Linked DNA regions of Mytilus edulis. The protein of the gene in region 1 interacts with the protein of each later gene in a biochemical or structural test. Links are inferred from orthologs where the notes say so. Each region holds a gene or a part of one and is shown on either strand. Other genes may lie near its edges. The genes, in order: general vesicular transport factor p115-like, syntaxin-5-like and golgin subfamily A member 2-like.

Region 1 (11,852 bases):
TGATTATTAGACCAAATATTTCATGATTACTTGATTATCTTGTTTACAAAAAAATGATTGATTATGTGAATATTTTGGCAAAAATTTTTGTGATCATGTGATTACTTGGAAACCCCTGTGAGGGGCCTCATCCATTGAATCACAAATAGATGAATATCAAATCATCAGTTTATTTGTTCCCAATTCATTCAGAATGGTGTGAGAATTACAATCAACTCTAGATGTTATTACATCAAAATCTATCATTAAATGGGGAATTGAAATTTTATAACATTTACAATTATAAGTTCAGCTTTAAGACTGAAAAATCTAAAATAAATCAGCAACACAGTGTAAGGGTTTACAATTCAATAACCTGTTAATCAGGACAATGAAATGTGCACTCTTCATTGAAGCTGAGCATAGTACATGTTTCAGATATCCTGTTTTTTTCTCAAGTTTTTGTTAGATTTTGGTATAACTACATGAAAAACAAATGCACAAGGTTCAAAAGAAATCCTTTCTGTCTCATTTAGTTCAATATTTCAAATACCATATTTATCTAAAGCTGCTATCGGAGAGTCACATAAAAACCAAAACATTTGGGCAAGTTGATGTACATGTTGTATGAGAGACAGTTAAGTTTTAAGTTCAACTTTGAACCATCTAATGTTCATCAGTACTGATGAGGCAGCAAGAAAACTTAAAGGTCAAAGGTGAAAGAAAAAACAGAAGGTTAAAAATGAGAACAAAAGAGGTCTCACAAATGTCTTGTCAATGGTATGATTTCTGAAAAATTAAGAATATATCTTGAGCTCGTGAGATCAAGACAAAATTTTCGACTAAAAAATTGGAATAACATATTTACATTAAAGATCTTCTAGGCATCCACAAAGACAACATGTAACAGTGAAACTTTTGTCATAAAACTTTTGCAAGAAAGCGTAAAAGAAAGTAACCAAGGATGTGATGTTACAACAGGGATCATTAAAGTATAATGTTTAGTTACACCTGATTAATTTCTCTACAATTCCTTACCTGAGAATGTATGTCAAAATGTTTGTTGGATTAGTTCAAAAATATGCTGCCTATTCCTGCAAATATAAAAAAAAGTATTGTAGCACCTGCTGTGTCAAGATCAATACGTGTAGTAATTGGATATGTTTTATAATCAAATGTTCACAACTCACACCCTATTATTTGGTTAAAAAGTTGTACCATATAATTTCTAGTTAACACTAAGATTTAGTTTCCAGTACATTATCAATCAATGCTATACACCAATATACATGTAACTATACATGTACCTATACCTGTAACATCAGAATAGTACAACAAGGTCTTTAAAGTATTGTGGACTAGGAGTTATCTGCAATGTGTTTTTTGGATGATTTTTCAACTAAATGTTTACATCTAAATTTGTGCTGTTCTGTGAAATCTACAATACAACCATAAGTTAATGAATGCTTTTGACCATTATGTCTACTACAGCCATTTAATTAAGAAGAAAATAAATCAGAAAACCTTTCTTATAATATATCCTTTTAAACAGTTATCATCCAGTCGCTAAAGTAGATTTGAAATCCTAGTTTAAGTCTGAAATGTATTTTTAATACTCTATTTCTCAAAAAGTATTTTTACTGATAAATGTTTGCACATGGTATTGCTCTCTCCTCATAGTAATTGTGTCAGACTCATTCATTTTGCTTTAAAAAAATCATGAAAGTTAAGTTTTTACGTTCAAATTTACCAGCAAAACATTAAAAAATATATCAATAAATCTGTAAACTTTGATTAACCAATATTTTTTTTATCTATAGGAAAACAAATTTATTAGAACCTAGAAGTTAAGAACTTCAATTGTTAACATTATTGTTTTTGTTAAATTTTTATGTGATGCTTAAATTCATTTATTTCTATCATACACACTAGCATCAACTTACCTGAGCCTGTGAGAGCTTATATATACTATAACATGTATACGGTGTATACTGGTAACATTTTACAACTGGATATATTTGCCAAGTGAAGCTGAAAAATGTTAAAACGGTTAATCACTGAACATTTTTTTGCTGAACATTGTATTTAACTAAAATCAATACATCTTCATATCATTTTAATGTTTAAATAAACCAGATGCTACGAAGGGCGCAGCTTTATACGACCCCACAGGTCGAACCCTGAACAGTTGGGGCAAGTATGGACACAACATTTAAGCTTGATACAGCTCTGAATTTGGATTGTGAATAAATAGTTGACACAACATAGGTTTCTGACACAGAATGAATGTGGTCTAAGAACTTAAACTTAAAAACTTAAAAATTTTAAATTGGACATTTAACTATTATGGTCCAATATCCAAAATCTAAATACATTAGATTCAGCATATCATAGAACCCCAAGAATTCAATTTTTGATGAAATCGAATAATGTTCAAATTTAGACCCTTTAGACCTCAATGTGGACCAATTTGATAACAGAGCCCAAATATTAAAAATCTAAATACATGGTTAGATTCACCATATTGCAGAACCCCATATATTCAATTTTTGTTGAAATTAAACAAAGTTTAATTTTGAACCCCGGTTTGGACCAACTTGAAAACTGGGCCCATAATCAAAAATCTAAGTGTTAAGATTCACCATTCAATTTTTGTTAAAATCAAACTAAGTTTAATTTTGGACCCTTATTCCTAAACTGTTGGGACCAAAACTATCAAAATCAATCCCAACCTTCCTTTTGTGGTCATAAACCTTGTGTTAAAATTTCATAGATTTCTATTTACTTATACTAAAGTTAGAGTGCAAAAACCAAGAAAATGCTTATTTGGGTCCCTTTTTTGGCCCTAATTCCTAAACTGTCGGGACCAAAACTCCCAAAATCAATCCCAACCTTCCTTTTGTATTCATAAACCTTTTATTAAAATTTCATAGATTTCTGTTTACTAATACTAAAGTTATTCACCAAGGTGCGAAAACCAAAAAAAATGCTTATTTGGGCCCTTTTTGGCCCCTTATTCCTAAACTGTTGGGACCAAAACTCCCAAAATAAATCCCAACCTTCCTTTTATGGTCATAAACCTTGTGTTTAAATTTCATGGATTTCTATTTACTTTTACTAAAGTTATAGGGTGAAAACCAAATGTCTTCGGACGACGATTTTCCACAAGTATGTCATGTACTTTATTTACCTTTTAAAAAATAAATATCTGTCTTTTCTTCCTAATTCCACTGTACTTGACAATGATTATGGTAGAAAAGAGATAAGATGAAATCTTTCTTCTTTTTGCATATATATTTAACCCATAAAATACAAACATGTATACAAAATTCTTTGAAGCAGGTTATTAACCCTAAGGCCTACTGTCTATTAAAGACCTAAAGAAGATAACACTAATTACCATAATGTTTAAATTTTGATCAAATTCAGTACATCAATAAAACAGTGATCAGATGTCTAACAATAGATAAAGGTAGTTGTAAACACTAAATATATGGATGGTACCTGGGCTTAAACAAACTCTCAATGGAAAATAAACTTTTAAACAAGCACCAACAATTTGTTTTATTTTTGCATAAATCTTTTTTTTCATTGTTTTCGTGGATCAACAAGTGTCCAAGGAAATATAGCAACACAACTGTTGTCCAAATCAAGACATGAAAAGATACCCATACATGTAGGTTTTACAACATAGATATAGTCATGCCATATAATCTAAAGAAGACTTCAAATATCAGCAAATGCACTATGATCGACAACTGCATGCAGGATTGTACCCATTTAAGCTTTAAAGGGGCACTAGCTGTCAAATTCATGTTCACAGATCTTAATCAAATTATCATATTTGATTTATAACAATGTAAAAGATTTATCCAAACTATTAAAAGTGTAAAATAAACAATAAGCAGGGCACAGGCATGAAAATATGTAGCTTCGCTTTGTGTGTATTTTGGTCTAGACACCACCTAATTAACTATTGAGTTGACCTCTGAAGTCATCCGATGACCATATAAGCAATTTAAACATAAATATAGATATAAATAGATTGAGTAAACTTGGATTTTTCTAGGTCTATTTAATTTCATAATAAAAATGAAAAATAAATGTTTCAATCATCGTTTTTACCTGTATAAGAATGATTTTTTGTGGATCGAATCATCCAATCAAATGATTTACCTTTGTTTCACTTTATATGTTGACATTCTTCTTCTTTAAAGAACTTTACACATACAATTCACGTGTTATCCATCTCAAGCAAAGGGGTTATATTGAAGTTCACATGAATACGTATTCAATGAGGTCGAATTATTCACTTGCAAGTGAATAACCCATAATCAATGTTTTTTAGCTTATTTTGACAAAATTGAACCATACTGGCTGCTTAAAATAATATATTAGATTTTTAATAAATCTTGTAGCTAGACTTCCCCTTTAAAAACCTAAACTGAACGAATTTTAATCTTTTAATTTAATTTTTTTTTAAATATTTTGAACAATAACAGTCAGATTTCCAGTGAATATATGCTATGATGAATATGATCATTTATATCCTCATAATTCTCATACAGAAAATTTTAATATTATATTGCATGGGCTTGCTTTTGATCAGAATTAATTTTACAATTCAAGGTACATGTACTTCTATACATGTCTATAGCATTTGTTTATGCACAGTTTTCTTAGAGTGTCATTCCTAAGGCCAAATTAACCCCATTGATGGTCTTTAGTCTGTTGATCACTTGATTTCAGGGTAATTAGTGTAATCACTTCTGATTACCATGATTACACTGTGCAACAGTTCAAATGTTTACTTTATTTTTGCAATTTCCATCAATCGAGACAATTTATAAGCATAAACATGATAAACATGATAAATTAATCAGCTTATTTCTGAAAGCAAGTATTTTATTTCAAATTTGTTGACTGTTGTCAGTTTCAAAAAATGAACAAGTAAGTGAAAATAAACACCTTATGTTGCAATATCCACAAATCATTATAGAACAACATAATCTGATGTTCGGTGGTTTTCGTTTGTTGATGTGGTTCATTAGTCAGTGTTTCTTGTTTCTATATAGAATGGTTTTACGGTTTGAATGGTTTTGTACCAGTCATTTTTGGGGCCTTTATAGCTTGCTGTTCTGTGTGTGCCAAGGCTCCGTCTTGAAGGCCATACTTTGACCTATAATTGTTTAATTGGCTATTATCTACATGTTGTCTGTGCAACACAAAACCATGAAACTTAAAGCCAATGATGGGAAAGTTGCCTTTAACCTGATCAATAAAACAATAACCTGCTATTGTAAATTAACTGAGCAAGGCGTCACAGTTCAAATGACTAGGTTCAAATGTATCTACTTCTATATATTCTGGATTCTCTGGTTTTATCCATCTAGTGTCTATCAACATTTTTGCCAAATATGACCAACATTTCTATTCATAATTTAATAACAAATAGTTTTAAGAGTCATATTTGAAAATCTTATTAATTTTTTTTCACAGTTTTTGAAAGAAAAATATTGCCAATAGTAATTGTATGAAAAACTAATTCCTTCCAAATTTTCAATCGCTTCTTTGAATTTTTTTTTTTTAAGTTTGAGATGTTGTAGATATTGATGTTACTTAGGACTGGAGTGGCTTAAATCAAAGCATAACAGAGTGTTCTTGCAATAAAGCAGATAGATATCTTGCTGTTCCTAACCCAATAGTATTATTTGGTCTAAAAAATTGCCAAAAATATGATATTTGAGCCTTTGCAAATAAAAGTGGACACACACAAATGTCTCACCTGTTGTGTATTTCTAATGAAAGAAAATGCTATCAGACATACATTATATATTTTAAGCTGTAAATAATGAGTAATGTTGCTGCTGCTGATGCCTGTATGAATGTTAAAGCTGCTACCAGTCCTGCTGAAGACAACTCTCCATACTACCAATTGTATAGGTTATTATTTGCTATATATATATATATATGGAGATATGCTGAATAACTGTGGTTAAGAGTGAAATAACTTACTAGTGATATATACTATTATATTAATAATGATAACTAAAGATGGGGATGAACAATGAGAGTATAATTGCTAGATTTTAATACAAGAAGAATATTTAAACACTAGCTTTGGAAGTTTAGTGCTGAAAAGTAACATAGTTTACAATGTGATCAAGTAATAAGTTTTCAAAACATTAAAAAATACTGAAAAATAAAGTTATTATCAACTGTTACTGAATGAAAGGAATTTTCTTGATATCAGATCCACAAGAAATACACCAAATATAGTTGACCTATGTATAGCATACAGTATAAAAAAACTCAAAAACTGAACTTTGACAACTGAACCATGGAAATGAGTTCAAGGTCATGAAGGTCAGATGACACCTGCCAGCTAGACATGTTCACTTAACATGTATAATCATTCCATACACCAAATGTATTAGATCTATTGCATACAGGACACAGTACAAGAAAAACAGACCAAGACACAAAAACTTAACTATAACCACTGAACCATGAAAATGAGGTCAAGGTCAGATACACTGAATATACTACACCTATATGATATGGACTTGACCACCAAAACTTAACCTTGATCCATGAAATGAGGTTTGAGGTCAAGTGAAAACTGTCTGTATGGACTGACAACCTTGCAAGGTACATACATACCAAATATAGTTATCCTATTACTCATAATAAGAGAAAACTTAACATTACAAAAACATTTTTTCAAGTAGTCACTGAATCATGAAAATGAGGTCAAGGACAATAGACATGTGACAGACAGAAACTTCGTATTCTGAGGCATCTATATACAAAGTATGAAGCATCTAGGTCTTTCACCTTCTAAAATATAAAGCTTTTGAGAAGTAAGCTAATGCCGTAGTAGCCGCTGACGGATCACTATCCATGTCTAGCTTTCTGCGACAAAAGTCACAGGTTTCACAAAAACGACAATTTTGGAAATCAAAATGGTCCGAACTTTAAAACCAGTTGACTATTTCCAAAATTTTTGGCACCAATGAATTTCCCTATACTTCATAATTTAGCTGACCTCCCTAGCACAATTAGTAAAATTGGAAATTCAGTAGTTTTATGGCTATGCAGCCTCTAAATTTATAATGCCATTAATAGACAGATATACTTTCTCTGTAAGACTGATTATATATATATTACCTCAATAATACCGTCACACAAATATTATAGCCGGCTTTCAAAAACAGGATGTAAATCTTTCATGCATCATTATTCTGTATAGTGTTGATTTCTAAATTTGTCAACAGTAAAATCAGCACTCTATAGTAGAAAGTGAAAGTAGATAATTCAGTTCGAATTAATTCTTTTTCAGATATTTCAAAGACACTTTAGAGTATCTTTCGATACAAACATTCGTTCAGTGGTTTATTAAATCCTTTATAAACAAAACATACTATTATATTTATTTACTGCGAGATTGCCACGTTTTAATACGCATGCGCACACTCCGGAAGCCACGAATCACAAAATGGATTATTTTCGAAAATATTTAGGTCCTTCACAGGGTGGCGTACAACCCACAGGAGCAGATACTGTTAGTAGAAAATGAATAACATATATCTTAAGCAAATTTAGAAAAAGTCTAATAACGCTATCACCCTGTACTTCAACTGTTTGCAAACGGCTGTTACCGGCTCAACCCCCTAAATAATTTTGTGAAAAAAATATGTTGTTATATCATATTTAAGTATCAATTATATACGTGAGTGTATGGCTTAGTGGTTAGGACTGTTAGAGTTTGCACTGAAGGTTTCGGGTTCAACCCTGACACAGGGAGGAAAAAGGGGGGGAGTGTACCATACACCTTACCTTACCCTTATCGCTATTTCATTTTGGAAATCTGTGATGCTAAATATGGCGTGAACACAACGCTGGAATGTCACTTGTTTCTTATATTGTAGTGTAACTTTGTGACGGGTCATGTTTATACATGGGCTTAAAACAGATCGATAACATACACCTTATCGCTAATCCTGGCTGACCCGGCCGCTTGAATCACTTTTCCATTGTAGCGTCAGATATTTTGTTTTGTGACGTCAAAATTTTACGGGAACCCGTGTGATATTCAGTAATGGCAGACAAATAGCGATAAGGTGTATTATTATAGCATGTAACGTTTTCTTCCTTAATTTACATATTCCTGACACTGACAGTCATTACAACAATCATAACTTTTCCATTTTGACGTTATTTTCTGTTATGACGTCATATTTTTCAGTCAGGGGTACTACTTGTACAAGTTATTTTTATTTACTTATAGAAGTAATATTAATATACTTATACAAGTGAATTTTATTTACTTGTATAGGTAAAAAAAAATATGGCTTAGTTATGTCCCTTAGACATTCCGATTAATTACCTATATATAGGTACAAAAGTTATCCTTTCTTCTTTTCTTAAGTTCTTAGGATTTCTTTGCTCTAATAGAATTTTAAATTGTCTGCCCAGGGAAAAAAATTAACGGTCGTCCAGTCGCCAATGGCGACCAGAAATTGACCTGGGCGATCTTTTTACTCAGTTGTGGTAGCCCAGGTGGCGAATTGAAAGCAAGTTCTTGACTGACCAAAAATCAGCAATTTACCGTGACTCCAAGTACTGGCTACTTCACAGACAAAAATTTAAATTCAAAAAGAAAAATCTTTTTAAAATGTATTGCATCAAAGTCGCGGTCGCGATAAACAAGGATGTCAAATCAGTGTTTACCTGTGACTAAATATAGTTCATGTAAATTCAGGTCACTGATTGGTCGTCTATTGAAAGTCGGAATGTAAGTGTAATTTCATGGACAATGAAAATCCCATTTGTCTGTTATGAGCAATTTTTGAAGGCCTTGCCCAAATACTTAGATCTTTGCGCAATCAGTTTCTTTGTTGAATTAATGAGATGAAACATTGAACACTATTAAAAAAAATTGAGCTAAGCAGGGAAAAATCATCAAAGGCAAACTTGTCGTCGGTAAAATGCAGTTTTTGGCTTATAACTCAAAAACCAAAGCATTTAGAGCAAATCTGATATGGGGTAAAATTAATTATGAGGATAGATCTGTCTGCCCTAAGGAAATTTTGCTGTTTTTGGTTATTATCTTGAATATTATTATAGATAGAGATAAACTGTAAACAGCAATAATGTACAGCAAAGTAAGACCTAAAAATAAGTCAACATGACCAAAATGGTCAATTGACCTCCTAAGGAGTTATTGCCCTTCATAGTCAATTTTTAACAATTTTCATATAATTTGTATATTTTCACTAACATTTTCCACTGAAACTACTGGGCCAAGTTCATTATAGATAGAGATAATTGTAAGCAGCAAGAATGTTTAGTAAAGTAAGATCTACAAACACATCACCATCACCAAAACACAATTTTTTCATGAATCCATCTGTGTCCTTTGTTTAATATGCACATAGACCAAGGTGAACGACACAGGCTCTTTAGAGCCTCTAGTTCATCAATAGACAGGTGTCTTATACAATATTTTAAGTACTAATGCATCCTTAGTCTGTGAAGGCTGTATATCGGTGCTTTGCTTTTGCGCCAAAATAATCTTTCATTTGCGCCAAAAATTGAACTTTCATTTGCGCCAATATTTCAGGTAAATACGCATGATACAGGTTAATACAGATATTGATAAAAAAAAAATCTTTCAAAAACCCTGTTGATAAAGTTCTTGTTAGTCAAAACATATTCCTCAGAAATCAGTCATCATAAAACCATAAATAAACCTTTCAATGCGTTTTTGATATTATACTTTCTGCTGGTGTACCCCATGGTTGCGTTCGTTCAAAGTTTTGATAATTGTTTAGTTGTCAGTTGGTATTCTGTCTTTACAAGTTATTCAACCTTTGCAAGTTTTTTGGGACACCTTAATGACTTGTCTTAATTTTTCAGATCATACATGTATATGATAAGACTTATTTCCTTGGTTTGTCTCTGAATTGACAATGTCCATCTTGACACATCTAAAATGTGAACACTATATAAATTCAAACCTAAGTGACTCTCAGTAATACTGTAAAAACAAATCTTAATCAATTCACGATAGAGCGACGAATGTTCGTTTCCTTTACTACCTGTAAAATGGCGCAAATGAAGTATTTAATGTTTGGCGCAAATGAAAGATTGGATTTTTAAAAAATTGGCGCAAATGCAATGCGCCCCTGTATATATAGATTTAAACTACAAATGTACAAAGCCATTAGTACCCACTTTAAACACAAAACTATATTTCTAAATACACTTACTAATGAATCAAAAATATATTGTTTTTAGGTTGAAAGATTAGTGGACAGAGTTCAATCTTCAACATTACTGGATGATAGACGAGATGCCGTCCGAGCACTTAAAGCAATGTCTAAGGTACAATGTAATAAGAGTGGCAAACGATTTATTTATTTTTGGTATCAAAATCAAAACAAACAATTCTAGCTATAAATTTCTTCCAATTAAGTCTGGTGTCTTAAATTTTTTTATCTTTCAGAAAAATATATCTATTAGGTCATAATTATTATTTGTTGGATTTAAGAGATACTGATCTGAATCATTGTGATTTTAAAATTAAGATAATGATTTTAAAAAGATTTGAAAAATTCCTTTAACAGGAAAAAGTGGGAAAAAGAAAATGACATTTAACAAATGTACAAGAATTTTATTTTCTAGGAACAAAGTGCAATATTTATTTACTTGAAACAAAATTTACATTTTTTATAGAAATTTCGACTGGAGGTTGGGACACAAGCAATGGAAATACTCATAAAAACATTGGAAACTGACAGGTTGGTATGACTATAGTATATGATACAAAATTCATGAGACATCATTGATCATTTATATTGAAACTTAAAAAAAGACAACATTTAACTTTGTACTTGTTTGGCTTTATAACTATTTTGATCTGAGCATCACTGATGAGTCTTATGTAGACGAAACGCGCGTCTGGCGTATTAAATTAAATCCTGGTATCTTTGAAAACTTTGACATGTTTATGGCTCTAGTATAACAATTTGCTTGCAATTTTGTTAAGAAAACTATATTGGCCATTAATGACCATGATGACCCTTATTTGGAATAATGACTATTCTTTATTTAAGAAATAATTTTATCCTGCCATGCTCTATGCTCATTTTAACATGGGTAGGCATTATATTTGTTAATATCTTAATACCCAGGGTTATCTAGGTATTAAATGTTTTCAAATATAATGCCTACCCATGTTAAAATGAGCATAGAGCATGGTAGGATAGAATTATTTCGATTCTAATAGGAATATTTGAACTTTTTCACTTCGAAGCTGACCTATAGTAGACGCTCAGAATGTCTCCATTTTGATTTCATGAACCAAAAACGTTATAGAAAATCAGCAGTTTATCAATAAAAAAGAACAGAAACATTTAAACTTACTTTTAGAATGTTTACATTTAATTGCCTAGTGAGCAACATTAACATAAATGTCCATTTGGATCTCTGGCGTTGTTCAAAATTCATCTGACGTTGCAATTTCAATTGTGACTTCAATCATGTGCAGCCAATGTTCTATTTGAATTAGAACATGGCTTTGTACCCAAAGCTTAAGAAGAACGATACTTTAGAATCTGTTCTAAAATATAATATACTGTTTGTAATTGTAGGAGTGATGCAGAGATTACAGGTTATGCCTTAGATGCCTTATGTAACATCATGTCCAATGAACCGTCAGAAGAAGGTAATCCATGTTTTGTCAAAATATTTTTGGATAAATGTTTGTTTTATTGAATATGAAAGGAATTGGTGCAACAGGTTGATGCATTTATAAAAAATCTAATTTAGTTGGTCAATAGTTAATTTGCATCTATATCAGGGCTTCC
Region 2 (11,142 bases), on another chromosome or scaffold:
GAAACAAAGTTAAGATTCGACTTACATGTATACAATCATATAACTTCAATATGTCTACATACATGACAAAGATATTAATGAAATATCCTGAATTTTACCATTTTGGATGTTTTTTCTACCATATAACATGATATAAGTCTATAAATAGACGAAGTAAATATAAATATGTACATATGTATGTAAACTGGTTTTAAACAAATAGTATGTCACCCTAGTTAACATCCTGGTTATTCATCTTTCTAGTTTTATTTTATTTGTATTAAGTCAAACTCCAAATGTCAAAGACAGACCACTTGGAACAAGTGCTATTTTCCAGCTTAAGATTAACATTATTTTTCTCAATAACGATGTTTTGGTAGACTAATACCATATATCCTGTATTTATATCACCTTATCTCTGTCGCAAAGCATCCTACTAACAGTTTTCTTACATTTAAACTCCTAAAAAATGGGCTTAAACCAAAAAAAGAAGAAACTTATAACTGCATTCTTACTGGTTTATAATACTATAATCCCATTCATACAGGAAGTATATAAGTATCTTAATAATTTGTCTACTGACATCATAATCAAATCTTTACATTTGTAATAACAACAAACTCCAAGTATACATGTAAATGTACTAACAATTAAATAATATGAAGACACATTTTATATCCAGTTTGATTAAGGACTCTGGTAAATTATTGAGTCACAAATAAGCTTTACAACATCTTAGGTACACACAATGTATGAATACACATGTTCATAATAAAAAGTGTTCCAAAATTGAATTGACTTAACATCAAGGAATAAGTTGATTTAAGAAATACTGGGTAACATGAAAATTTGTTTAAATTTTTTGAAATTGAATAATTTTTTTTTTACCTTTACAAATTTTCTGGCAACAACTTTCTGAAAGCCAGCATCATCAAAAATGCATTGGAAATACTTGTGACATGAATTAAAAGCTTACTTGTGTGCAAACCAGAAAAATGCAGTAACCAAGTTAATTAAGATGCTATTTACTCAAAGATATATCATGTACATGTATGTCTTGCCTGTCAGCAGAAAATTCAGAAAAAGGCAATCTGATAGACAGCAACATTGCTCATTAATTCAAAGTCCCTGAACCATGAACTAGAGAGTAGTTGACAAATTGATACATGTACATGTATGTACATGTACTGTTAGTAATGCAAATATAGAAAACACCCATGATCTATGAAAAAGAGTCTGAAAGTAATTCCTATCAAACAGACTTAAGCAGAAAAACTTAACACTGTAAATTGCAAAATTAATTCAAAGTTACTAGACTCTGACCTAGAGGGAAGGGCCTTGAAATTGTAGTTGAACTGATTTGACATATAATGTACATTTGTATATAGATATACGCAATGTACTGATATATATAGTAAGGCAACTTTACAGAATATATCATTGATCTATCACAAGTAGTTTTATCAAACTGACATAAACAGAAAAATGAATAATTGTTGACACCCCCACCAGAAAAGCAACTCCTATTTTTCCCCTTAAATGCAGAATTTATCCATAGGCTCCGTCCATAGGACACAGATGATACCCTGCATGCATACAACATAACAAGGGGACATAACTAGAGAACTGTCATGACTGTAATAGTGACACCACCCAAATTAGAACTTGATCTGAGTTTTATGGTTATTTACAAGCATTATGTTTAAAGTTCCATAACATTTGGTTAGGCAAATTAAACATGGAGATTAGAAATCAATTTTTTGATGTAGAGGGTCAAGAGTAATTTTTTAACTTAATTCCCACTCCACCACAATGAGAACACAAAAACTTGGCATTGAGAACTAGTGTCTGCACTCTGGGTTTACACATAGGATTTTTGAAGGCGAGTCCACTGACACACAGCCTCACAGGTTCATGATACTGAGCATACATGTGATTCTTCCGGCGGGAGTTAAAATCTCCCGCTTTTCAGACCCTCTTCCGTCCCTCCCGTTAAAATTTGAAATCTTCCGCTTTTTGAAAATGTCAATCTCGAAAAAATTTCAGTAGACATTTCTGTTTACAAAATTAATACAGACAGGGAATAAGTCCGAGAAACTCTAAATTGATATGGGAAAAGTCCGAGAAAATCGGAAGTTTCCTGTAATGGAATTTGTGTCAAAAAGGTAAATAGGAAAATAGCCTCGAGTAATCAGTGAAGGTGTTAAGGATTAGACTGTATATACAACAATAAAAGATGATTGGCATTTACCTAGTAATCAACTAAATATTTAAATAAACATGTCTGGATGATTAAAAGTGATACTGACAATGGAACAGTTGTATCAACATCGACTTTAATAAATTTTGATGCTGTTGAAAACATGGAACAGATTTAGTTTATACTGAACCTCAAAGACAATAAAATCAACTCAAATATGATATGTCTTCTATCTGGTCCAATACCTAAATAAGTGTGTTTGTCTTATAATTTGACAAATGCAAACTGTATGTTATCACCAAATACTTTTGCCCCAGCATCAAATAAAAGAAGACACAGTATATATCTAGCCAAATTAAGATCATGCTTACTACACTTCATGCAAAGCTGACTATGGTGGCCCTAATTACTTGACCAAAAATATGGAGACAGCCACCAACCAGATAGCCCACAACTTTATCAATTCAACACCTTCTGTTACAAACATGTTCAGTAGTGGTACAAAAGTTGACAATGTGGCTAAAGCAGATATACTTTTTGCCAACTATGTATGATGGCTGATCACTTTATCTTGAACTATATAAAATTATGATGAGTAAATATTTGAATCCCCCTTATCTTCTATTTTACTAAGTTAAAATGGCTATGTAGGTGCTTGTAGGTATGGAATCATTGTTGTGTTTTAACAAAAAAGGAAGATATGGGTCATTTTCAAAAAATGCCGAATTTTGAAATTGAAAAAATTATTAAAAGTTACTTATTCAAACAACCCTCTACATAAGCAAATCAAAACAAACAGTACTTTAAGAACAACATATTAAAAGATGCAATCTTAATGATGTCATACAAAAATATGTTGAAACATTTTTTGATCGGTGGTACATTATTTTGTCTATCCTGTTACCATTTTCAAAAGAAATTTTGGGTTATTAAGAAAAGGTTTAGATAAAATGTTAAGCTTGTTTTACGTAGACAATTAGATGGTTTTCAAGAGAATAAACGTCTATATATATTCATTCTGTAATATAATAGATTATTTGCCAATTTAACAGGTTGTACTGAAAAATGCCTCTAAAAATTGGTTTTCAAAGGTTGTAAAAATTACCACCAGTAATGCAAGTCTAAGATAGCAATTTATATTGTTCGGCATTTTTTCACCCTTTCAAATAAACCCAACATCAAGTAAATCCCTCATAAGTTAGTTTACTTTTCTCTATATTTCATTGGTAACAGGAACGTACGTTTCTGATATATTACTATATAAAAGTCTATCCTGTTACCGATATCAGTATTGCACCTGCGAATGCTTAATTGGGAAGATTAATACGTTATAACCTTAAGATGACTTCAAACAACGAAATATTTCATTCGTTTTGCACCTATATGTTAAGATAAAAAAATTAACGACGTTTTTGTCTACAATTGTCTATCCTGTTACTGTAACCATAGCAACCATAGTAACAGGATAGACATAACAGGATAGACAAATTTCTTCGTTTTTGATTGCTGTTGTGAAATAACTACTCCCTTTGGTGAAGTGATTATGTTTTTCTATTGTGAATTTGGTTTCCAACACGTTATTGCACTTTTTACAAGTATACTGTTGGTGTATTTAATCAAAATTGGTGGTAACAGCATAGACATGAAAAAAAGTACGCTATATTTTTTTCACTAAATGTCTTGAAATTTCTTTTCTCTACACTTTCGTTCAAGAAACGAGGCGTTTTAAATGTAAAGATTACTTTGCACTTTTGAGATCAACACTGACTGATTCAATATTCATAGGGAGAATAATTTCACGGCTGATTTAAGTAGCGGTAACAGGAAAGACATGAACCTCCTGTACGCAGATTCAATTTAGTTTGTAGATAATATGTTACATACAATGATATAGAAGCTACGATTTTTCGTTAGAGTAATATTAAACGTTCTTAAAAAGTCCCTTTTGCAGATATCAAGGCGATCAGAAAATCGCAAAAAAATCATTTGAAATGTGTTTTTCTGACACTGTACGCAGACAAATACCCCCAAAATGGGTCTTAATTGCAGTTTAATCTTATCAAAATAGATGTAAGGTGTGTTTATTATTAATGTTCTGAATCACAAATCCGACAAGCTTTCATTTAAACCATTACAACTGAAATTTCCATTAGAAATAAAAAAGTTAGCATGGGTGTACTGAAAATTCGACATTTTTTTAAAACGACCCATATGCAGTTTAAACATGCAAGAAAAAATCTTGCGTATGTCTATAAAAAGGTCGATAAAAAATCTCCAGTTATGAGGCCCAAACTCCAGCTGAAAATTTCCAAATCTCCAGTTGTGGCTTGACAACTCTGTCACATGTATGACTGAGAGTCTGGAAGAAAATGATGTGTCAAAATTATGATGCATGTAGATGTTCAACACTGTATTGCTATCTTGTGAAGCACTGCTATTTGGTCTTATTTCAAAATAAATATTAAATATAAAATGAAATACCTAACCAACTTTACATAAATCCTGAAATCAGTGAAATCATGAAATGACAGTTCATGAGTTGAGGTGAATGACAGCTGTCAAATAGTATCAAAACAGTGACCAGAACTAATTTGAAAAAAATAATCAAGTGGGAATAGACTTGTTGGGATTAAACTATTTAAATATCATATAGTAAAAGTGGTTCTAGTTACAATAATACTTGAAATAAACAGAAAGTGACTCCTGTTTCTTATGTTTCTTTCCACCACGACTCAAAATAGACGTAATTTCCGCTTTCCTGACGCAAGCGCAACTGTTAGAATGCATTGTGGGTAAGTCTATCCGGCATTTGGTTGTCTAACCGCGGACTGTTCGGACGTGAAAAGACGACTGTCCCAGAAAACACAATTTCCCAACCAATCTAAAGACAACAAGACAGTCAGACACACTACAAAAATGCCTCCAGCCGCAAACAGCCAGGAAATTTATTTAAATGGTTTGTACTTGCTTAGAATATTTAGAAAAAAATTATGAAACATCAGAACAGCTGATGTGTGTTGAGTTATCTCCCTTACAAAATTCGTCTGCATTTTGGAGTGCGAGTGGCCAATATTTCATACATTATGAATCTGCATGTTGAGAAAATAGTTATGACTGATTTTTCCTCTTATGTAAGTACAAAATTGCATGTCTAAATCAATATTTCCTTCCCCATTATATCATAATTCTAGAAAGTAGTTGAGAAAAGTAACTTTTGGAAGAGCCAAAGGGTTTCAAACCTTAAATCATGAGGATTTTTCACTTAAAAAAAAACATGATTGGCATGGGATTCACTGTTATAATATGTTTAATGAGTAACTGTATGTTGATAATTTTAACATTTTAACAATTAAAATTAATTGATAGATTTTCATCCCCGCCCGCCCCTCTGAAATCTTCCTGCCCCGGTTTTTTATAATTTGCAAATATTAGGATTTCCGGATTTATTAATTTTTGTTACCGGTAACCATCTATAATTTCATTTCATTCAAAACTTCCTGTTTCAAATTGCGGTTTTCCTTTTCTCGTTTCTTAGAGTTATCTTACTAATGATTAAGTCAACATATTCTTCTACTCTATGATGACAACATCATCTACCGAAAATAGAGATTGTTATAGAGATGTGCATGAACTATTTGGGTTACGATTAATATGCTTTGTCCAAAAACACAAATCGCGGTATGTCACAAATGTTTGTGATTAGAACACCTTTGATTTTTAGTTTATTTATACAATGACTTTGTGTCAGGATATTTGGCCTGTGAATGATACCCAAAGCGTGAAACACATTGGTACAAAAACCTAGACTGGAATAAAGAAATTGACACAAGCATGAACTTGTTAAATTGATGATCGTATATTGAGATAAAAAAGTTGACAAACATACGCATTTTAGTAATTTATACTCATTTATAGCAAGCCCTTAGATTTAGAATTACCCATGGCTGTCGTCTTTTGTTGACAAACAGCAAATATCCTCTGTCCAAATACCCTCGATAGAGTTATTAAACAACTTCATGTTTTATATTGTAACTATATTTGCATCTTGCATAAGGACCAACCCTATTATTTCAACACTGTTTGAGTTTTCATTTTATTCTATACTTATATTTCATTTTATTCTATACTTATTTTTCATTTTATTCTATACTTATATTTCATTTTATTCTATACTTATATTTCATTTTATTCTATACTTATTTTTCATTTTATTCTATACATATAATACTTGTGTTGCATACAAATGCATTTGCTTCATTTCATTGGGACTACACATGTACCAATGCTTAGAAAGCAACAAAAAAAATTTTGTGTGGGGATTGCAATTGAAGAGAGCATTTCTGTACGTTTTTGCTATTTACTATAAAACATGTAAAATAGGTTTTTAAAGCGGCAATTACATGTAGAACAGTGGTTGCCAATCAGAGATATTTATTGAAAAATTATATATGGAACCTTATGCATGTACATACATGATATAAGTTTTATTACACTTGCATATATATCATGTATATGAAGAACACATCACAAGAGGGTTTCATATGAAATAAAATTTAAAAAATAAAATTCTCCCACCCACCCCATTTTTTTCATAAATTTGGATGAAAATCTACTAATTGATTTTAGTTGGCCTTATAGACACAAATGTTGACAGATTGATTTACTGATTATACTGTAATTATATGAGGGAAGGCAATGCCCTTTACTGTCAGGCGTATACTGTAATTATATGAGGGAAGGCAATGACCTTTACTGTCAGGCGTCAAAATCATTTTGGGCTACCATTAGCATCAAATTTGTTACCATTTTATTGTGAATTATCAAAAAAGCCTCATCATAAGTCATGAGAGGTCCCAAATAACTATCCGATACCTTTACTTTGGAAAGAAATTATCGTGATTTTTTATTGACAAAGAGAATGCACATTTTATCTTCCTGCACCTTTAATTACCGTTAAAGTCATTGGTAAGATTTTTATCCATTATTCATCATGAAGGTTCCCACTGTATGACCCTCTTATTTATGTTTTTAGTGAAAAACTCTATAGAGAAGACATTGTTAGAAAGAATAATGATATTTGATGGCGGAATGGGAACCATGATTCAGCAGCAACGGTTTGAGGAAGAGGATTTCAGGGGTACTGCATTTGTTGATCATCCCAAAAGTTTGAAAGGAAACAATGATTTGCTTAGTTTGACCAAACCAGACATTATTTATAAAATTCATAAGGTATAATTTGTAAATTACTGAATGTTATTTAAGTTGATGCTAATCATGCTAATAGCTTGATTAGATCAGATACAGTTTTAGTACATGTAGGTACATGTACAGGGCTCAGGCTGCTAGGTGACTATGGTTAAGAAGTTGCTTTCCTTAGTTCATCATGATCACCTCACATTTCTCGACATCAATTCACTAGGGTGTTTTCAACACTTGCTTTTGTCATCTGCAATTTTTTATTTAACCTAGTGAAACAACATTTTGTAATTATAAACGACATTCAATAACTTAAACAATTATTTTCTTTGGAAACTTGATGAAAGCATTGACTTGATACAGATTGGTTATATACTGTTTTAAAGAAGAAACAAAAATAGTGATGATTTTGCTCCTGTACCTTACTAAAGAATGTACATCACAACAATCCGATTTTGGCACATTTATTTCTATGGAAAACTTACAACAAAGGCTACCTGGCTTTTTTTTTAATCTTATACAGATATAAGATGATGCTATGCATGTTTCATTTTATTTTCTGATTTATGGATGTTTTATGGTAACATATAGAATAAGATGCAGATGGGCATATCATGTTACTCAAGGACTAATGATACAGTTGTTTATTCAGATACTTTTATTAAATTTAGTCTTCAGAATCGCAAGAATGAATATAGAATTAAATTACATTTGATACTTTACATTTCAGGATTATTTTGAAGCAGGAGCTGATTTCGTTGAGACAAACACATTCAGTGGTACCACCATTGCACAAGCAGATTATGGTTTAGAACATATGGTATGAAATAACTTACTATTTTCCCGATTTATAAGCTAATTCACATACATACACACTGATAATGAGATCTTATTGAACATTCTTAAAGGACACAAAAACTGCACAGAATTAAAATATTGTTTAGCACAACAGCATTTCTGCTTGTATAAACGTTTCTCTTAACTTACTGCTTGTGAGATGTATTCTAATGATTTTGGTGTATGTTCCATGGCACAAGTAAGCCCTGGTTAAAATATTTTGAAAAGTTTATTGTCTTTGTTTACATATTTCTGTTACATTTGCAGTTATTAAATGAGTTATGAAGAAAAAAGCCTATGTTATTTGAAATGGTAAAATTTATATGGAAAGAAATCAGTGTAACAAAAAAGAAATTGCATTTCCTATTTCATTAAAAATCACATTGTTAGATCCTGAATTTGAATTAGATTTTAGAAGAAGGTTAGTGTATTTGGCATTTTATCTGGTCTTGTTTAATGTTGGTTCCAAAAATAAGATTAATACAGTTGCAAAAATTTAACCACTCAGCATTTACTTTTGATATGTTTTAGGTATACAGACTAAATCATGAGTCAGCAAAACTAGCAAAGAGAGCTGCTAATGATGTCACAGCAGCCACAGGTAACAGTAGAATATTTATCATTAAATTCCAGATAAACTAGGGGGATTCAGTCTAGGTTATACTCAGACTTTCCTCTCCTTATAATTTAAATTCAGGTTTTGTTTATCTAAATTTGTAATTAAATTTAATTTATATTGTTGAAAATGTTTAACATACATGTATATTTATGTATACATTGGCTTTCTTTATATCTAAAAATTGCCAGAGCATTTAAGAAAAAAAATTTCCACTTTTTTTATTTCAGGTGTACAGAGGTATGTTGCAGGAGCCATGGGACCAACCAATAGAACCTTGTCAATTTCACCATCAGTAGAAAAACCAGATTTTAGAAATATAAGTAAGTGTTTAGGTATAAATAGGCCATGTTTAGTTATTTTTTAATTCTCCAACTCTGCTTGGTAAGCAAAAAACCTGACACTGACTTGCATTTTTCACCAAGTTGTGTTGAAATTTTGTGTTGTTAAAATTTACCCCTTTCAGTAGTCAAAGAATGATAACTCTAACATTTTCATAAAAACTTTGATTTTTTACCTCCTGATTGTGTGTAGTTTAGACCAATCAAGCATTGGCAGAATAGGGAAAAAAATCCTTTAAAGAGTTTTATTAAGAATTTGAAAGGTATTGTGATGTCATAACGTGAACAGTCTTATGATATTCATTTATAATTCTTAATTGTATGGGTTTCCATATATAATGTGAAAATTTTCTTTCAATGTTATGTTTGGCTTAATGTTTTGTTAGAATTAATGTAGTTTTGCTTTGAATTGCAGCATTTGATGAATTAGTAGATGCCTACTATGAACAAGCTAAAGGTTTACTGGATGGAGGAGCAGATGTTCTACTTATTGAAACCATATTTGATACAGCTAACTCTAAGGTATAAACATGTTGTTACTTGTATCAACATACTTGTTTGAATCACATTGACATTTAATTTAGATAGTTATTAACATAAAAAAGTATAATCTGATTTTTGTATTAAAATGGATATAGAAAATGAAATTTTTGACCTGGGTTACATCCCAGTTATATGGTCATATAAGGTGAAACATATGGAAAACTTCATTTTATTTTGTCAGTTTATAGATTCTTATTAAAGGAGGTCATATTCATAAATAGTCCTAGGAAATTTGAATTGGATGAAAATTGTCAGTAGGTTGAGAGCTGCAATGTTTTCATTATAAATACAATCCATTACTCCATCAAAAGTTATGTTAACATGAATAAGAATCCATTGAATACATCTGCACTCTGGTACAAATTTTCTCCATGACAATATACTATTAGCATTAGGATATGCAGTAGCAATGCAACATGAATACAACATTATTCTTTATTTCAGGCAGCCATTTTTGCAGTAAATAAGCTTTTTCAAGCAGAAAACATTGAGTGTCCAGTATTTGTAAGTAGCCAATAGTCATTGATAGTAGAATATAAAGAAAGTGTTAAATAAAATTCTCTATTATTTAGATACTGTTTATGAAAATGATGTGAATGTGCATTCAGAATAACTGTTATCTTTTAAATATTGACTGTTCATGTATGATATAGTGTATTTACTACATGTTAATGTTCCAGTTTATGGTATAAAATATTATTGGAAGTTTTTAAAGAAATATGTTTTGTTAATGAGACTTTTATTTATGGTCAGGTTTAGTGCTTTCATCATGTTCATCACATACACTTTTCATATAAGACTATATATAATTTATAATGTTATATTTACAGATATCTGGAACCATTGTAGACAAGAGTGGGCGAACACTATCTGGACAGACTACAGAAGCATTTATCATAAGTGTATCACATGCCAATCCTATGTGGTAAGCTATGAATTGGTTTGTGTATGCATAATTCATCATTGTGCCCACCTTAATGGATTACAACTTTTCTTGTTTTGACCTGTTTGGTGTTTGTGCTGCAAATGATGACACATCAGTATGCAACATAGTATTGATGTCTAGTGAAATGTAGGAGGTTAACAAAAATATTATAGAAACCAGGATTAAAATTGGCTTATATTTGTTTCTAAATGAATGTGAATTGTACTTTGTTTACCAATAAAATAGATCAAAAGAGTTTTTTGGAAAATGACGCAGTCATTGTTCCATAACTGCCGACCTGATTTCTCTGCCTACCGCGCTTGGTTTCGTATTTACTAATTTCAATACAAACTGGAGGAATGTGCTTGTGTTATCATTATGCATGAGCATTGTGTAGTAATCAGCCAGGAACCAGTTTACAAACTAACTGGTTTCTGTTTGTATTCCACTACAGTCGAAGAAAGTGTTGTAGTTTGACAGGAACCAGTCCAGAATTTTGTAAACT
Region 3 (10,848 bases), on another chromosome or scaffold:
TCAAGTAAATAAGAAAATCGCGAATTTTAAAAGGCGCGAAACGGACTAGAATTGGTAAAACGCGAAATAAAGTATCCGCGAAAATAAGTTGGTTTACAGTATGTTCATTTGTGTGTTTACATGCACATATGTTGAATATGTCTATAAAAAGAAAAAAGGATGCAAACTTTTAATCATATGAAATATCTACATTGTACATATTGTAGGATGTTTGGTGTATATTTAACCTACTTTAGATCTTCACTATCTTTTCTGTTTTCTATGGAGTCTGGAGAATCTTTGGTCTGAATTTAAATAGGAGACTTTCAGATTACTAAATCTACACACATACAAGCAAATGTAAATACAAATGTATATAACTTTTTTTACATACTTATAAAATTCTACAATAACACTAAACTTCTTTAATAACATACAGGTATTCATCTAATAACTGTCATTGTTGGTTGACTAACAAGTGTAGACAAGTGAGCATTACTTGGATATATATGCTAGTGAGGAATTATACAATAAATATTAAATCTATAAGAAATATTTGCTCTCTCAAAGAATATCTAATATCTAATGTAGAAAATTTTGTTTTATTCATAATTTAAAAAAAAATCTACTACATACTGAAATTGAAACATGTCCTATCAGTAAATGTATCTATTACAAAAACATTAATTACATCATTACAGATAGAATATGTTTTACTCAGATCTTATCTGCTTTAGAATAACAAGGTACAAATGTTTGTCTTGAAAGTGTTTTACCTGGATTATATCTGTTGCAGAATTACCATTTAGGTTTTGGAATGTGTTTTCAGCTGTATGCTTAATTTCATTTTCTGGGTTCTGTGTACTTTCGTCATTAATCTTAGACTTTTTAGCATTTGCTGGAGAAGTTTTCCCAGTTTTCTTCTTAAACTGGTTCAACTGAAACAGAAATATAAAATTTATCCATTCATTACTGCAATTTAATTAATTATAATATGCCAGTCAAAACCAATAATCTTTCAGTTCACTAAGTTCCAAATTAAATATCTCTTTTCACATTTATGTTTTCTAGTTAGCATGGTTAGTGAGTCGACTCATGCTCCTGTCACGAGAGCATTCAATAAAGTATTATTTTCTTTTCATGAATATAACAATTTAATTTGTAAATTTTTGCTGCATATCAATCAATCCCTTTGGAATTTTCCCCCAAACTTCTCTAACCTAGCTGTATACATTTGTCCATATGCAGATAAAATCGCATGTTCCAGAACAGTAATTTGTATTGTAGAAAGTTTTAGGAAAATTCCTTTCCAAAACAAAACACCTGTCAACCCAATTAATGCACAAACACACACAATATAAAATAGTATGGACAATTCAATTGTAACCAATATGTCTTAAAATGCAATTTCCCACTGCTCAGTATATATTTAGCAGCATACCAGTCAACCTCTGAAACCTTTAAAGAGGGAGATCTCCCCTGCTTTGTCATAGATTTTGCATGAACGACATTTTCAAGTTAAATACATTTGTATATGACCTGTTTCTACAAAACTCCAACAAAAGTTAAATAAATATACTTTTTTCTTTGATTCACTGTTATAATCTATACAAGCTTGGGTTTTCAGCCTGTTTCAACACCTTCTACAATGTTCAAGTCTCATAGCTCATAATATTCCATATTTTGATTTCTTTATATATATATATGAGTTCTTTACTATTTACAAGCACGCTTACAAACATCGAACAGACCACCAGCAGAAATTCAATGATTTGAAAAAAGATTTATTGCCTAGTGAACTTGGTCATAAAAATTAAAATAAATCATTCAAATCTGCTCGACATTAGGATTTGCATTCATCTATATCTTTTTTACTCTGCCGCTTGATCTAGACAGACCTCTATCTTATTGGACTGGAGTTTACATTAGGGAGCTACCATTTGATTTTTATGGGGGGGGGGGGGGGCTAGGATGAAAAATGTTGTCCTGAATTTTTTTTTAGTTGTAATCTCTGTCCTGCCTTTTTATTTTTCACTCTATTCTGTCCTGCATTTTTTTTAGTTTATCCTGACTTTGTTAACCTAAATTGTCATCCTGACTTTTTTTTTGCAAGTGTCTCATCCTGCCTTTTTTTTTTAATCAAAATTCCTGTCCTGCCTATTTTTTTCAAATTTCATCCTAGCCCCCCCCCCCCATAAAAATCAAATGGTAGCTCCCTTACATAGCAGGACTGAATTGTGATTCCTAATTATATATGGAAGGGACATTAAAAATTCTGTCAGACCTAAGTTTTCAAATGATTGCTGATTGTTAGGTTTATTTCTATATTGAAATCAATGAATAAGTCATGAGAAATACAATCTTCGGTTATTCTAGGTCAAAATATAAAAGCAAGATATAATTTCGTCGTTTGCACAGGGGTATCCTACTCAAAACAAGACTCAGAGGGTTGGTAGGTATGTTTCGAGGCGTCTGTCTTGTACATTTGCAGAAGTGCTAGAATTGATCACTGTTGATTAACTGTTTTTACCACCAAGTTGCGGACCAAGGCTCCTACGCTCCAGCTCATTTTGCCTTAATGATCATATCAGTTATGCTGATTAATACTATATCACAGCAAACAGACAGTCCCTATTAATTTAATAACATGTATCAGCTCATTTGAGCTGATGTTTTCTTTATTTGCCGACTCTAAATAAAGCTTATTTTTTTATTATTGTGTGCATAAACGAACTGATGAACCGGCTGCTGTCAAAATAAAAGAAGAGAGAAAGAAAGAAAATATACAGAAACCAAACTGTACATATCGGTCATTTGATTTGGAAAAAATGCTCTTCCTTTACTGTACAATATATATAAATTGAGTGATAAAGGGATAATGGAATAGGATGATAACCTTCTTCCTAGCAGCAGCGATTTTCTCCCGTTTCGCAGTGTCGGCCATTCTTTACCGGATATTGCATGTGCGTGCGCATTTTCATGACACGCAGTCAGTTTGTAAAGAATCTACACGTTTAAAACGTTTTCAGGTAACTTTTTCAGTCTTGTACAACTAAAAATTACATTAACTTTCAAAAATCAAACGTTTTGCACTCCTTGTAGGAAAAGAAGTTTAGATACAGTTTACGACAGCTTTTCGGAGCATCTCTGTCTGTTTCCATAGATAAAAATGGCGCGAAAGTGAGAAGACCACAAATTTTTACCCTGAAGATCTTTGAGCTGTTTAATAAAGTAAGTCCACATTACTATATCTTGAATTTCATACTTAATATAAAACATATGAAAACGAGTTGCCTCTATCAAGCACGCTCCAGTTCAAAATTGTTAAATCCAAAATAATTTAAACAGTTATCAGTCAGTAGAAATTTTAATTTTATCTTCATTATATGTTTATGTGTTAAGAATCAGAATGTATTGTTTATTGTTGTCATTATGTCCCGCCAGGGGCCCTTAATTGGAAATAAAGAACTTTGAACTTATAATTAAGGATTTGTATATCCTTGTTATAATTTATTATAATAATTTATTTTATCATTATTAATTTGACATTAATTTGATTTCAAAAATTTATACTGTTCATGTAAACAGCACCTTTATGAGAGTCCTAAAGGGGATACCTACATGACGAACAATGGTAAAAATTCTTGCTGAATGAAGTGAACCAGTAATTTTTATGATAAAACGTACACTTTCTTTTATAGTCCAATATATACATTGTATTATAGGTTCATGTACATCATACAATCATTAGTATGAAATTAATGTTGATTGTTCTGCTCCATGTGCATGTTGCGGGTGCTGTGATTAGCAATAGAATATTTGTTTGTTTGTACATTTATATATAAGTTTTGTTTTTATACGACCCCAAAAAATTTTTGGGATTGGGCCTAAAATAAAATTTCATTTGTTTGGCATTGCCGCCCGACCCACTGAAAAACTTGCCGCCCAAATAATTTTATTTGCGTTTCAGAAATATATTTTTTTTAATTTAAAAATATCGAAATTGTGCCGGAAATTGATCGTATCCACCGAGTTTGTTCCTGGCTTTACTTATTTCAAATCATGATCTTAAAAGCGCTTGCCTTACACTGTATTGGGAGCAAACATTTAAATGACATGAAATAGAAAAAGTCTGCCAAAAGTAATATCAAAGAGGCCGGCAGGGGAAGGCATCTCCCTATGCTGCAATGTTAAAACCCATTCAAGGCGTATGATGCCATTATAAGGCATCACCTTGGTACCGCCGTATGATGCCTTAATGCATCACCTTGCTACGGCCGCGTGATGCCATAATGCATCATGGAAAACGAAAAATACTCTGACCTACTTTCAGTTTTAATATTAGATCAATTACGTAAAGCTGTAAAGCGTACGTTACCACAATGTGTGAACAGGTTTCAATTATTAATATTATGTATAAATTTTGACAATAAAAGTCATTGGTATGTCATTTCTTCGTACTTTCGATTTGCGTTCATGATAAAATAATATGCCGCCATTTTTTTTAATTTTGTTGACATGTGTAGTCAACGTGATCGCTTTAAAAAATGAAAGGTCATATCCTTACACACAAAATATTTAAACCATGTGTGTACCGCTGTTTTAAAAATTAATAATATTTACTTATGACTGTTTAATAAAAAAGATAAGCCGGTAATGGCTGTCTCTTTCTGTATCATCTTCGCATGTTGTTGATTTACGCTCTGTTGACGATCGGAAGATGGATTTTATCAAAATTCAAATTTCAGCTATTCTTTGAAAGAAACGTTCTGAGAGACCTTGTAGAGGACTCAGATTTATCTTTTGTAAAGCAGAAACAGATGATTTCTGCTTGAATTTGTCGCTTCATGAGATAGAAGTTTTTCACCGGGACATCACAGAACAAATATGCGTGGCTCTTACATTTGATGAACTTATTAAATATTTGAAATTTATCATTGACAAATTTTCCCTTGAACCAGAGAACAAAGTATCTACTATAGTCAGACCCACAATGATGCATTCAAGATAATTATGGCTGTAAGCACCAAAGCTTAAAGACCATAATGATTTACAGGTTTATAGTAGTTTTGTACCAGTAGATGCTAGCCTGGAACAAAACATACATATTTTAAAGACTAGCATCTTGTGTCAATTGAAGTACTTCCCCCTTTTCTTGCCTTTCTTCTTAACATGAATAAGATAATTCTTAAAACATAAAAGATACTGACAGAAACATATTTATAAATGAATCCAGTGTACTAGTGATGAATAAAATCCCCTCTTTTTCCACAATTCTAAGGGCTCATTAATTTATCTGTATTCATGTAATGCATGTCCAGATTTCTGTTAATCAAACAAGCATTACAACCAATAATTTATTTATCTGCAAAAATTGTCTGTCCTGCTGCATAATTCCATTTTGAATTTATCATACGTTTTAAATCCCTGAAAAACCTTGCACTTGGATAATATTAGTATAAACACCATGTCTATTTGTGCCAACCTTCCAAATTTTTGATATTTTGCTATCCTAATTTGGAACAGATCCTTTATCCTCAAAACTTATCAGGCATGTTTTTATTGTAGTTCGTCACACCTTACATGTATGATTACTAGCCTCCAGGTATTGGTTTGAGCCCTAGTTGGGCAGTTGCAAAATTAAGGTTTGATTTTCATGTCAGATGTGATAAGGTTAGTCAGTTTCCTCCCACAGGTTGCCATTTTCCTTCAAGTACTACGGTTTAGTATGGCACTAAAACTGACTGCCATGAAATTACCCATATGGTGTAGAAAGTGATGTTTATAAAACCAAAGCAAAGTTTTAAATCTTTGTCCATTTGTACAAGGAGCCGTAGTGGTTGAGCCATTTAAATTATGGTAATTTTACCAAACTGTGACCACAACTTCAAGATGTGACATCAGGCCTCTGTTCAATGGGCAGTCCCACAATAAAAGTTCAATTTTCATGTCATACATTTTATATGGTTAATTTGTCAGTTTCCTGCCTCAGTTCTGTGTTTTTTTTCTGGGTACTTTGGTTAACTTTGCCAATAAAACTGACTGTCTTACGTGAAATTATCCATATGATGTAGAATGTGACATTGATGGTTGACTCCTTTCAAAGAAACCACCAGCATGTACACACAACAATGCTGCAATGCTTGAGACAACATTGATCTGGAGACTTCATGATTTACATGTATAAGGCTTTTAAATGTAAAAAAAAAAAAATCCCTACCTACCTACCCACCTGCTGATAGTGTGGGTCGGCAATGCCAAACAAACAATATTTTAAGGGTGGCCTTGTATAATGGTATGATGACTGATGTCGTCGTCGTCCGAAGACACTTTGGTTTCCTGAAAATAACTTTTGTTTAAGTGAATAGATCTTTTATGAAATTTTTTCAGAAGGTTCAATACACCAAAAGGAAGGTTGGGATCAGTTTTGGGGATGATGGTCCCAACCATTTAGGAATTAGGGGCCCAAAAGGGGCCTAAAACAAGCATTTTTCTAGTTTCAGGAGTATAACTTGTGCACAAGTATTTTAATTGCTCTGAAATTAAACCGCAATGTTTAAAACCACAAGTAGAAGGTTTGGATTCATTTTAGGGATTATGGGGCCAAAGTTTAGGAATTCAGAACCAAAACGAGCATTTTCTAGTTTCCAGACAATTACTTGTGTGTATTTGTATGGATCTCTCTGAAATTGTACCACAATGTACCATATAACAAAGGGGAGACTGGGATTAAGTTTTGGGTTAATTGCCCCAAAATTGTAGGAATAAGGGGCCAAAAAGAAGCATGCATGTTTCTAGTTTCCAAACAATCATGACAATAAGTTGTGTTTAAGTGTATGGATCTCTCTAATATTGTACTACAAGGTTCAATACTACAAAGGAAAGCATGGGATTGAGTTTAAGGGTTATTGCCCCAAGGGGGGTTTCAAAAAGTTTGGGGGGGAGGGGGGATTTTGCTTTTACCATTTTTTAAAGGGATTTCTTTTTTTTCAGAATTTTTTAAATTTCGAATTCTGAAAAGTTTCAAGAAGAAATTTTCAATTGCACAGTATTGTGCAATAGATTTGTTAGATTTTTGACCACATTAATTTTGTGACAAAAACCTATATTATGTCAAAAATTTGATCACAATCCAAATTCTGACAGTATCAAGCTTGAATATTGTGACTAAATTTGCCCCAACTGTTCAGGGTTCGACCACTGGGGATAAAGCTGTGCCCTGCGGAGCACCTGGTTTAATAAGTATATTTATGTGATTAGAAATTGCTTTACAACGTTCCAAGATGAGGGGTCAAGAGAAACCATTGGCTTATGAAAACTTTATCAGTTTAAATATTGCAGTAACTGTTCTCTCAAAGACTTTTTAGCATCATGATAATATGATGCTTATAGATTAGATGGTGTTGATGATGTGATGCTATGATTTCTTGAAGCCAGATTTTATTTCAAATTATCCTTTTTACCAGGATTATACATGTTTATGTGATTTTATGTGACAATGTTCTATTGTTCTGACAAACTGAATTACTGAACTGTTATTATTGAATGTAAATGTAAAAGTAGAACATGTATCAGGATTTCTTGTTTATTGTTGTAAATAAAGAACATTAGAATTTCTTGTACATTTTGACAGTTGTATATAGATATCTAATGAAAAGTGTAAATATTTATATGTAGAAATCAAAATGGAAGGTTTTGTTCAGGAAGCCTCTGTTTGTACAAAATGTATATTTGTTGCTCGTACAATTAAAGTGACATGCATGCACATACATGTAGCATTTAAATGACATTGCTTTAATTTATACAAGTATTTTGATTGATTGTCTAATTTGATTTCTAAGTCTCAGTACGATAACTGTGCTTTAGAGTTTTTAATATCACAAGGCTAGATGTCGTTTATAAGTGTTAGACTGAAAAAAAATTTCAAAAGGGGTAAATTTTTAATTTTGTCTGGTCAAACCAGAAACATTACATTTTTCCTTAACTTTCCTAGACATGGTTATGAAATTTCTGTTAAGAATACCGGTAATAAATAAACCTGAAAAATGAGCTATAAGACTGGTGTTTGATGATTTTGCAAAACAAAAATTTACAAGGAATGGCTCTGAAATATCATTTTTTCTTGAATAATGCATTTATATTTGAAATGTGCAGCAAGGGACATAAATCAGAATAATCCTATCAAAGAAAACCGATTTTAAACAGTTCATGTCATGCAGGTTGATTTTACAAACATAGGACCAGCAATGGGGATTGTTTATGATGCGAATGGTTATACAATATTCAAACAGAGGCACTGTTCTAAATTTTCTATTTTGATTTCTCTTCAGATCCAGGAGACGATTGCTTAATATCAGTAATTTTTAAAGTAAAAATGGAGGTAAAGGAGGAATTGGAAATTAAGTTGGAGAAAGAAGATAATATGAAGAATTTAATATTAGAATCTCCACTGCCAGATTGTGTCAAGTCAGAACCATGCTGGTTGGGAATTGATGAAGCAGGAAGGGGACCAGTACTTGGTCCTATGGTTTATGGAATTTGTTTTAGTCCAATATCCTTGAAGGAGAAATTTGGAGAAATGGGATTTGCTGATTCCAAGACCTTGACAGAAGAACAAAGAGAGAGCATTTTTGATAAGATAAATGAAGCCAATGATATGATTGGATGGATGGTCGAAGTGCTCTCCCCTACCTTTATATCAACTAGCATGCTCCGTAGAACAAAATATAACCTTAATGCTTTATCACATGACTGTGCCATCCGACTGGTGGCTCTCGCAATCGAAAGGGGGGCTAACATTGCTGAAGTTTACGTTGATACAGTGGGAGATCCAACTAAATACCAAGAGAAACTAAAAGGTATATTCCCATCAATAGACATAACAGTAGCAAAGAAGGCTGATTCTTTATACCCAATCGTTAGTGCAGCCAGTATATGTGCTAAAGTCACCAGAGATAAGGCTGTCAAAAAATGGAAATTCCAAGAAGATATAAATACAGAAGATCTTCAGTATGGCTCAGGTTATCCAGCCGATCCTAACACTAAAAGTTTCCTTGCAAACAATATGGACTATGTATTTGGTTTTCCACAATTTGTTAGGTTCAGTTGGTCTACGGCAGCCATTATTTTAGAAAAAGATGCAGCCCCAGTGAAATGGGAAGATGATGATGAAGATGAAAACGCTGACAAAAGCAATATGGCATTGACTTCATTCTTTTGTAAGAAGGATCATAACCCTAAAATGGACAGACATATTTATTTTAAAGATAGATGTATAGAAACAGTTCAAAAATTATAGTGCTGAGGTGCAAGAGATTATTCTTACTAAACCAAGGAGACTGCAGGCTAAATGAAGTCTGAGATTCCAAGTACATGTAGTTGTACCCATAATGTGTTCAGTTATTTAATCAATTAAATACAAATTAAACAACAAGTTTCTATTGGTTAACTATTTGATTCTGTGACGTCAATAAGCATTTAAAACTAAACAATTTAAAGGACTCAATAAGGTTTTTATCTTGCGTGTGACTTTCGTTGCAAAATGCCTGAGTAAGGTTTTGCTTTTCCAGCTGATGGGTCAACACTTGTTAAGTTTTCTGCTAATGTCCCATGAACTTGAACTACTTGTGATAGATCTATTATAATTTCTATAATGTTGCATTACTATCCAAATATATCTGACAATTTGATGACTATTTCGAGGCCTTTCCCCCTAGCTAGATCATGGTCATGATCAAGTGACTTTGAATTAATTAGCAATGCTGCTGTCTATTAGATTGTCTTTTTCTGAATTTCCTGATGGGAAGCACAACATATCTCTGTGTCAAAATTTTATTCTATTAAGATGCAGGATAATTAAATATATAAAAGTATTCGTAGGGATGCTCTCTGAATGACATTCACCCCATAATCTTATGTTCTGAACTAATACTATCTCGGAACTTAAGTTGTCAAGAAGAGGCAATAGAAACCAAAGGGGCATTAAAAAAGGTCAAAAATAATCTCTGACAATGCCATGGCTAAAAAAGAAAAAGACCAACAGGCAAACAATAGTACACAAGACACAACATAGAAGGGCAGCCAAAGGCCACCTATGGGTCTTTAACGTAGTGAGAAAATCCTGCACCAGAGCTCAGGTCCCTTAATTATATTGTGTACTAGTTCAGTGAAAATATACGTCATACAAGACTAACAACAATGAACAAAGGCCAGAGGCTCATGACTTGACACAGGCTCAAAAATGCGGCGGGGTTAAACATGTTTTGTGGGATCTCAACCCTCTCCTATACCTCTAGCCAATGTAGAATAAAGAAACACATAGCAATAAGCACAGTAAAACACAGTTTAAAAGAACTTGAGAGTCCAATGTCAGAATAGGTAACAAAAGAAACTTAGCAAAATGATAATGATGCATAAATAAACAAAAGACTACTAGCAGTTACTGACATGCCATCTCCAGACCTCATTTAAACAGAAATATTCTGTCTTCATCATATGACAATCAAGTACAATTCCTCCCATTATGGGTTTAGTATCATGATACAGTATTACCATTATAAAGACTGCTCAACATGAACAAGCATTAAATGGGGATCAAGTCATTACAGAGAAGTGAGATCTCTGTTTATTTGAGTTGTTCTAAATGGTTATTTATGCTTACATTTATTTCACCTCAAACCATCCATACATATTGTCATCATTGTTATAGCAATTTCACTATCATTCTCTTTCTGCAGAGATACTTTTTACCAACTATATATGATTGCTAATCACTCTATCTTGAACTTTATATATAATAAACAAATATTTAAAAAACCCTTATCTTCTATTTCTATCAAGTAAAAATGGCTATGAAGTTATAGAATCATT

Evidence for each region.
Region 2: the proteins of general vesicular transport factor p115-like (region 1) and syntaxin-5-like form a complex in vitro, tested with the Homo sapiens proteins (2 studies listed by BioGRID). The link is inferred for Mytilus edulis from reciprocal best matches to the Homo sapiens genes USO1 and STX5.
Region 3: the proteins of general vesicular transport factor p115-like (region 1) and golgin subfamily A member 2-like form a complex in vitro, tested with the Homo sapiens proteins (2 studies listed by BioGRID). The link is inferred for Mytilus edulis from reciprocal best matches to the Homo sapiens genes USO1 and GOLGA2.

The regions. Positions count from the first base shown.
Region 1 is NC_092352.1:26,330,265-26,342,116, forward strand, and holds the start of general vesicular transport factor p115-like, read left to right. Parts: upstream 1-7,276; 5' UTR 7,277-7,477; coding exon 7,478-7,543; intron 7,544-10,281; coding exon 10,282-10,368; intron 10,369-10,719; coding exon 10,720-10,784; intron 10,785-11,636; coding exon 11,637-11,710; intron 11,711-11,852. UniProt on the Homo sapiens protein: General vesicular transport factor required for intercisternal transport in the Golgi stack; it is required for transcytotic fusion and/or subsequent binding of the vesicles to the target membrane.
Region 2 is NC_092346.1:73,715,582-73,726,723, reverse strand, and holds the start of syntaxin-5-like, read right to left. Parts: upstream 4,955-11,142; 5' UTR 4,852-4,954; intron 1-4,851. Other genes in the region: methionine synthase-like, read left to right, coding at 5,096-5,135, 7,212-7,408, 8,106-8,195, 8,744-8,813, 9,059-9,151, 9,585-9,691, 10,157-10,216, 10,543-10,637. UniProt on the Homo sapiens protein: Mediates endoplasmic reticulum to Golgi transport.
Region 3 is NC_092345.1:23,876,992-23,887,839, forward strand, and holds the start of golgin subfamily A member 2-like, read right to left. Parts: upstream 3,001-10,848; 5' UTR 2,924-3,000; coding exon 2,876-2,923; intron 918-2,875; coding exon 756-917; intron 285-755; coding exon 232-284; intron 1-231. Other genes in the region: ribonuclease H2 subunit A-like, read left to right, coding at 8,354-9,277. UniProt on the Homo sapiens protein: Peripheral membrane component of the cis-Golgi stack that acts as a membrane skeleton that maintains the structure of the Golgi apparatus, and as a vesicle thether that facilitates vesicle fusion to the Golgi membrane.